Linked DNA regions of Coturnix japonica. The main gene of each other region encodes a partner of the protein of the gene in region 2 in a complex. Links are inferred from orthologs where the notes say so. Each region holds a gene or a part of one and is shown on either strand. Other genes may lie near its edges. The genes, in order: PDZ and LIM domain protein 5 and AAK1.

Evidence for each region.
Region 1: the proteins of AAK1 (region 2) and PDZ and LIM domain protein 5 are in contact, whole or in part, in a crystal structure (PDB 9F6S), measured with the Homo sapiens proteins. The link is inferred for Coturnix japonica from reciprocal best matches to the Homo sapiens genes AAK1 and PDLIM5. Residues at the interface, in NP_055726.4 of Homo sapiens: Asp956, Leu958, Ile959, Asp960, Leu961; in NP_006448.5 of Homo sapiens: Ala12, Pro13, Trp14, Gly15, Phe16, Arg17, Leu18, Phe24, Gln67, Ile70, Lys71.

Annotation. Positions count from the first base shown.
Region 1 is NC_029519.1:52,281,410-52,285,786, reverse strand, and holds the start of PDZ and LIM domain protein 5, read right to left. Parts: upstream 2,877-4,377; 5' UTR 2,764-2,876; intron 2,024-2,763; exon of another isoform or gene 1,921-2,023; intron 1,534-1,920; exon of another isoform or gene 1,259-1,533; intron 1,177-1,258; exon of another isoform or gene 1,154-1,176; intron 850-1,153; exon of another isoform or gene 826-849; intron 817-825; exon of another isoform or gene 712-816; intron 655-711; exon of another isoform or gene 632-654; intron 476-631; 5' UTR 436-475; coding exon 340-435; intron 1-339. UniProt on the Homo sapiens protein: May play an important role in the heart development by scaffolding PKC to the Z-disk region. May play a role in the regulation of cardiomyocyte expansion. Isoforms lacking the LIM domains may negatively modulate the scaffolding activity of isoform 1.
Region 2 is NC_029537.1:1,354,903-1,358,709, reverse strand, and holds part of AAK1 (AP2-associated protein kinase 1), read right to left. Parts: intron 3,626-3,807; coding exon 3,544-3,625; intron 2,042-3,543; coding exon 1,909-2,041; intron 1,185-1,908; coding exon 1,081-1,184; intron 693-1,080; coding exon 613-692; intron 1-612.

The DNA.
Region 1 (4,377 bases), on a different chromosome or scaffold from region 2:
AGTGATTCTCCCCTGCCGCCTGCCATGTGAACTGCATAGGCAGAAAATTGCCCATTTCCTGCCAGCCTCCTTCCTCATGTCACAACTTTCTGAGGGTGAGCAGGGAGGGGAATTCAAGGGTGCTTTCTTCCTGTTTTGCTGCATAGATAAAGCAACGATTTTAGATGAAGATGTACGTTTTCTTGGCGCCTTCAGACAACAAAGATGTATTTTCCTAGCCACCAAGCCACGGGGGCAAGTTGAGCCCAGTACCTCAAGGCTTTTTAGTCTGATGAAGGCAGCAGGCTGACTGCAGCACAATGGATACCCAGATGCAAGCAGAGGGGAGAACACACTCACCCGAGAGATGGACAGGGGCATGTTGAAATCCTTGCCACCTTGAAGCCTGAAACCCCAAGGAGCCGGGCCGACTAAAGATACACTGTAGTTGCTCATGGTGTTCAGTATTCAAGGATCCAAGCCAAGGACTTGATGCCTGCAGAAGAAGAGGATTACACCTTTAAATTAAAGAAGTTTAAAAAAACAAACAAACAAAAAAAAAAAACAAAAAAAAAAACACAGCCCATCACTTCCCCGTAGTATAAGGATAGTATAAGGACAGCCAAAAAATCTACATGATGTCTGCCATTACTTATACTTTCATTCCCCATGCTTTGCTGTGCTCGATTGATTAGAAAGAAACATAGGGAGCTGGCAACATGCTCTTATTACTTTCAAGATTTCTGGTGTTGAGACATTTGCATCTCAAGAGAAGCAGACAGTAAGAAGTACTTGTCAAACTTCTGACAGGATACTGTGGGGGAAAAAGGAAAACACCAAACAAACCTCAGTGCTGAGACAAGCATGAATTGATAGCATCCCTTAAATCCATGTATGGAAGAAGTTAGCACCACTGGCACATTCGTCTCTGATAAAATGAGTATCACATGCTGCCATGTCATCAGCTCAGAACTTGTTTCTCAACACATTATGGTTTGACAGTTTCAGAACAACGTCAAAATGTCACAACTTTGAAGTTAACCAGAAGAAAATAAAAACCCTATGGCTTTTAGTTTTACAGCTTAACATCACATTGACAGAACAATGCTACAGACAAGACGGATCTTAACACCAAGTCTCAAATGAAAGCTGCAAATTAAATTAAAATACTGACAGCCACATCGTAACAGTGAGGTGAAAGAAGAAGGAAAAAAAAAAAAAAGCAAAGTAAAACTCCAGCATCTCCCTCCCTTCCACGCCAATGCAAGCAACAAATTACCTTTAAAAGGCAACCTCCGCACTTAATTGCTGCCCAAAGCCACAGATAAGGGCTTCAGTTTCACCTCAGATAAGTAACATTACAATGACATCTTAGGTAGTGGATCCCGACTATTTTGGTATGGTTGAAGTAAGGCAAAGAAGACAGCAGAGCAGGGTGTAAGCCTACACCGCGGCACGGCCGGATTCCAGCTCCTGTGCTGACATTTAAGGTGGCACCACTGGCACACTGCAGAGAGTGGGCTGCACGCCACCGTGCACTGCAAGGGGATTTTAGGTTTCGAGGCAGAAAGGTTTGCAAAGGCACCCATTCCAGTGGGCCACCCGAGGTGTGGAAACCAGAGCGACCTCGGCAGCTCCCAGGGCAGCTCTACCCCCAACACTGGCTCAAAGGGCCCCAAAATCTTCAGCATGGTAAATGCCACCGCCCTCTCTCCTCCCCACCCCCATCCTTCCTGCTGCTGGAGAGGTTGAGAAGAAGAAAAATCACCAAGCGAGTTTGAGCTCTCAGGGGGCTTGCTCACCACTGAAGCGAGAAGTACAACCTTCGCTAATTCCTTCTGAAAGGGGATTTTAATTAGTCACAGATTTCCTCCCTTATGAAAGGGAGAATTCTTCTCATTCCCACTAAATGAAAGACACCACAGCAACAGGTCACCGTACCCTGGGGACGTCAGGAAAGCACACCGTGTACAGCGAGCAACACACGTGCGGTTCACGGGCACCGGCAGGCGGCTTTACCTCTGAGAAGAGCTCAAGGGTCTCATAACCAAGTTTAGAGGGGGGGAAAAAAAAAAAAAAGTAACAACTAGTTGCAACAACAGCTTCAGGAAAAGATGAAATTACGTTCAAACAAGGATGGTTTCCCCCGCCCCGTTCGAAACAGCTACAAACTGGGGAGAAAGACTGCCTGGTGAAATGCCTCGCGTGGCTCCCAGCACCTCTCCTCTCTCCTTTCTAACCCCCGCAACCCTGCACCTCCAGCCTCCCGGACGGAGCAGGAAGGAGGCGATCACTCGGAAATTCACTGCACTTCTCAAAGTGCGAGTGCAGCACCTAAACCTCACAAGCCCACTTGGTGTAGGGGGAATTGAGCAACCACGGATGAACTGCGCAACTTCCATCGGCTTTCACCAAACATTCGCTGGGTCGCCTTCTGGAAGGGGGAATTTCAAAACCCTGGCAGAAACGCCCGTCAACACGCGTGGGGACGCGGAACAACGGGGACCCGCGGAGGAGGCAGCCCTTGGGGCAGTGACAGCACCGAGCCGCCAGCCCCGCCGCACCGCCCTGGAGGGGCACGGATCGAAGCTCCAGCCCCAAGGCAGCGACCTGAGTCCGGCACCCTGCGGGGAGCTCCCCAGGCAGCCCAGCAGCACCCAGACACGGAGTTAAATTACAACAAAATCAACTTACAGGTTACGAGAAGCAGCACGAAGTTCGAGCCCCACCCCAACTTTCTGGCTTCCCCGCTCCCTCCCCGCCTAACCCCGCTCACTCACTCACCCAGCCCGGCGCTGCGGGGCGCGGAGCGACAAAGACACCCGCGGCGCGTCTGCCAGGCAGCAGCTCCGTCCCTCGCTCTTGTTTTCACTTCCGTCTCCCGCCGCTCCTCCCCCGGCACGGCCCGGCCCGGCACCGCGCGGTGGGGACGGGGCAAGGGCGGAGCGCGATGCCCGCTGTCCGGCTGCTGGAAACGCTCTAACGCACCGCTCTGGGGAGGACCTGAATTAGTCCCGATTCACTATTTTTTTTTAACAGGGAAATGCATTTCTTTTTCTTTTTTCTTTTTACTTTACCCTGCTAAAGGTGCACCTGTGAAACGCAGGGTGACGAGGGAGAGGAAGCTGAGTGTCCACACGTCACCCCTCTATCCTCAGCCTGAAGAAAGGAGCTGCTATTCAAACTGGTGCAAAGGGGCAGCCATAGCTTACAGCGCAGCTCATGTAGGCTGCCATAGCTATTCTACAGGGAACTCCTACAAAAAGAGTAGAACTTTGCTTTATTTACCATGGAGTACCAGGTGGAGTGATGAGGATATGATTGCCTCCCCAAACGCATCAAAGCAGTGAACAGCAGTAAGGCAGAAGAGATGTTTGAGCTACAAAACAGTGCACAAGAACAAATGGGTGTAACGTGACTGTGAATAAATGTAACTTAAAAATCAGCCATTAAGGGAGGCTTGTGCAGTAGCAGGTCCAGAGGCAGGACTGCTGGCTGGGTAGTGTGTTGCCATTCTCCACTGATCTGAGGCACAACTGGGGCCTGGCAGCTGAAAGAAGTGTAGAGAGCAGCGGCACTGCCTTGGAGGTTTAGCTGTATCACAGCTGGGAGAGGCCTGGAATTCCCTTCTATTCTTTGTGTTCATTAGAAGTGATCTCAAGTAAAAGTGGTTGTGAAAGAGACACACCTCATTAGCAGAGCATGCGGGACTGCAATCATGATAATTTCAATTTGGTCTTCAAGCACGGATTTGCTATGGAGGAAGAGTGCAAAAGAAAGCTTTAAATCCTTTGCTAAATCCGCAGCAAATGAAATACAGTCCATTATCATCATCCTGCCTAGCCCTTCTGTCCTTGCTTGGAAGCAGGGTAGCACTGTCCCTTGTCTTCCCAGTCCTAGCTGTGTGAGCTTTAATGGAGCTATTTAATGTCACCCCACTGAGCTGGCCATTTTCTTGGCTGTGCTGACTGAACCGAGTGAATCTCGCATCACATCTCAGCAACAAAAGCATCCAAGACCCTGCCAGTTTAGTTCCACTCTTCTGCAAATCTGTCCTCCTTACCCCGCTCTTTTCCTATTAAGTGTCTCTAATCAGGCAAAACTGAAAAAAACCCATTACACACATAGACTCTCACATGGTTTTAATTTGCAGAGGTAAAAATTTCCCATCCCAGGGATTCTTCATGGTGTCACAAGGGCTTTAGGTCATTCTCTCAGTGTTACATTTATCAGAGGAGAAAGAACCCCAGGACCCCACAGCACAGCAGAGCCCATGTGACAGCCCTAAGGCCAATATGGTCCTGTGCCATCTGGCTGAGCTGCAGCTTGTCACCACTCACTGAGCCTGGGCTATCTAGGTGCATTCAAGAAAAACATCTCTTTCCACTTCTCCAAAAG
Region 2 (3,807 bases):
GCAAGCAGTGGCAGGAGAACCACCACAACAATACAGCAGTTCCCCCACACATCAGGCTATTCAGATGGAGATTGTGCTGGCCAAAGAAATTACACAGCTCTTGCAGAAACTGCAGCAATTGCACACAGTAATTACTGGGTAAGGTTACCATCTGCTGAGGACCAAATTCAAACAGCAATTGTTCCTAATGCAATTTTTCAGCCGCCTTGTACTCTGGGCCAATTCCAGGCCCACTGCAGTCTCCCTGCTATCTCAAGTACTCTGGGTACTGCCTTAGAATAGATGACGCAGTAGATTCATTTAAGTGCATGAACCTCAACTGCTGCTGTCAAGCAATGTCTTCAGGACAAAGCCTAGCTGTTGAGTCATGCTGAGTATTGCCCAAATCCCTCCCTCCTCTCACACAAAAATTTCCAGCATCTGCATCTTCTGTCTTTCAGATCAATGGATATTTATGTCATTGAAGCAAAGCCTCAGGACTGCAGTGTTTGTCTCAATATATAAACGTAAGCCCAAGAAGAAGCAGCTAAATATGCCAAGCATCTTTTCTAACAGAAAGCAGAGAGATAACACACAGTCAAAGAGAGCTAACTGTAATGAAGGTGTGGTTACCTGGCCTTTGGTTGACTCTTCTTTGCTGCAGCTTCACTTGCTTTGACTGGGTCTGGGAGTTTAGCAGGGATAGGAGAGTTCTGCAGATCCCAAAAACACTGAGTTTAGTACTTTGTGGGCGGAAAACAGTCAGAAATCATTTGCAAAAGCACAGCGATGAAATTTGGAGGTTGAAGAATCCCCAAAGCAATTATTCCTCATGATGGGCAAATGACAAACCCCTCCTTGTTAATGGCATGAGAGGAGCTTGGGTGAGCATTTCATGAGGAAAAAGATATGGTTCAGCTTTCTAAGCATATTCTACATGTGCTATGAAGCTTTGTGTTCAGATTGCAAATGTTGGGTATTCAAAAAGAATCTGGGAAGGACAGTACCAAGCAATCAATATAACACAGCAGCATCCTCAATATTTAGCAGCTGCCACCCCCAACTCCTCACACAACATCAGACCACTCCTTCACTACTCACCTGGACATTCTGGACTGGACATTCCTTCTTTGCCAGTTTGAATGCAAAGTAGGAGACCTGATAAATATCAGGTCTCTTATCAGGGTCTGGCTCAAGCATATACCCTTTAAAAGATACATCAGAAAAATGGAACAAATTCATACAAGGATGGTCTAGGAAATATATATATATTTTTTAAACACTCCTATGAGTATCTCCTGGCTGCTATTGCAGGCTCTAAAGAAGGGGAAATACAAACTGCTTAGGGAATGGTGTAGGGTTTGACTTCTGCATTTCCAAGTGAGCCCACAGGAAAAGAGGTTGACACAGCCCTAGTGAGTGTGTGGGGCAGGAAGACACACAGACCACTGCCTTTATATGAGCAAAGAACATACCAGGGTGCTTAGAAAATAACTGTCACTCAGGGTCATGGCTAGAAAAAGAGTTTAAAAAAAATATGCTGTACTCATGAGAGAGCTTCCCCAGCTCTGCCAAGAGTAACACGTTGTACCCTTAATTACACATTCACTCTAGGCAGTAGGTTATTTATAAATCATTTCAGTTCTGTTTCCCAATTCACATAAGACAAATTCTTATCACTGGTCTAAGTCACCGTGGTTCTTCTCAGTTCTTTATCCAAAGAGATTTGGTACTGGAGAAACATGTTTTTGCATAAATAGGCTTATTTCTAAGTTAACATAGGACTCTTAAACCAAGGTTTTCTCTTTTCCTGCCTTTCAACAAATCCCTGCTGGTCCCAAGCTATGAGGAAATCATTACATCCATTCCTGTGTGCAAAGCAAGCCTATTACAGCAAGAAACACCAACTGTTCTGCTGCAGGAACTCACGGATGAGGCAGTGCATGTCCTGTGAATGCCGAGAGTTATCTGGAATGGTGAAGTTGCCATCACAGATTGCCACCTGACTCTCCCCAAATGGCAAAGTGAAATAACACAGCTTGTACAGCAAACAGCCGAGGGCCTGAAGACAAAAAGCAGAGCATGTGAGTTAATTAACTGAAAGATGCAACAAGATCCCCAAATCTACATAGACCTTACATTGGTGTATGCTACTGCATGTAGACGCACAAAAACTTTTCCTGCTCCCCACATACAAAGCAAAATTAATAGGGAAACCAAATGGCATCCATCATCCTTAATTATGAAACACTGCTGCCATCCCAGAGGGAGCAGGGGAACACATTTCCTAATGCAGAACAACTCACCATCAGCTTGTGGCTTTTGTTATAGGATTTGATAATTAAATTGTACTCCAATTGAAAAGAACCTCATGAGTTTTGGGGAAAGGAAGGTGCCAAGCAGGGCAAACCACTGCAAGAGGCCTTAAGCTAAGGCTGTACTCTGCACATCACTGTATTCTTGTATGGGAATGCAGCAAATGAACAGAACAAAACTCCTTCAAGGCCAAGAAGAAGAGAGTAGCTTGAGCCTCTGTCTCTACCTCTCTACATGATCACAAAGGGTACAAACCCAGGGTTCTCCTCTAGCTGCCTCTGAGGCCCTGACAGTCTTTTCATGCTGTTACAGCTGTGCCCTCCCCTCTCTGGGGCTCAGCAAGGCAAGAGACCCAACGCTGGTCTGGGGCCTAGGACTACAAACCTCCCGCTGAACTCAGTTCCCCATAGGAGCTGCTGTGTTCCTGACCCTTGGCTGAGCTCACAGATAAGACAGAGGACTCTTTCCAGCTGATGCCACGCCAGCAATTTTCCCTCTTGTATATGCAAACATAACTATCCAGGATCCATAAACACCCTCCTTACACTGCTGCTTCCTAGCTCAGGGCTTCAAAAACCATACAAACACACCCCAAATTAGCATTTTTAACACATCCTATTTGCTGAATTGCCACTTCACCACAATCAACAAAGGCTCTTCGTCCCAATTAAGAGGAAGCCTACCATCCTTTCATTGTTAGGTTATCTAGTAAGGGATTACACCACAGCTGCATTTTTCTCTCAATATAGAAAACATAGCAAGATTCACTCCTCATTAGAAACAGCAGTACAAAAGCCTGGTCCTTGGCCAGGTTTGATGACTCTGGGCTGCATTACACTGCCCAGAAACATACTATTATTCCTGAGGGGAGGCCTTTTTTTCCTCCATTTCCCATCTTCTGCCTAGTAACATCGGTTTCATACCCTTCCTCAATAGAAGCACAAGTTACAACACCATGAATCTTCTGTTTTATGATACAAAATCATGTTTGCACTGATCAATTCTGAAATTTCATACATCTCTATATTAAAACCACATGAAAAGCAGCATGCAAAGCACCAATCGTGTCTTACCTAGAAGCCAGCCTGTTAGCAGTAACTCAGAAACATCAAGCAGAGGAACTCTACTCAGAAACTATCCAACCCTATGGAAATCAGGCTATCCCCAGCCAGAAAGTTATCCTGTTGTTAGGACAACAAAAGCAAACTGCAATCTGGTTGTGTGATGTTAAGTGGGCTTTATACATACCCATATGTCTGCTTTTGTAGTGATAAGTTTGCCACTATACAGGTTGACCATTTCTGGTGCTCTGTAAGATAACGTAGTGTACCTGCAGCAAAAAGATCTATTGGTGAGTTTAATGTGGTTATCAGATGAGCTTTCAGTATGCCACATTTAAAATAGTTCAAAATTCATACTTTTCCTATTTGTTTTGGGGCAAACACTGAAGAAAAACTTGGTATTTCTCAACAGATCATCAACAACAGTGTGTGCTGCATGATTCTAACATGA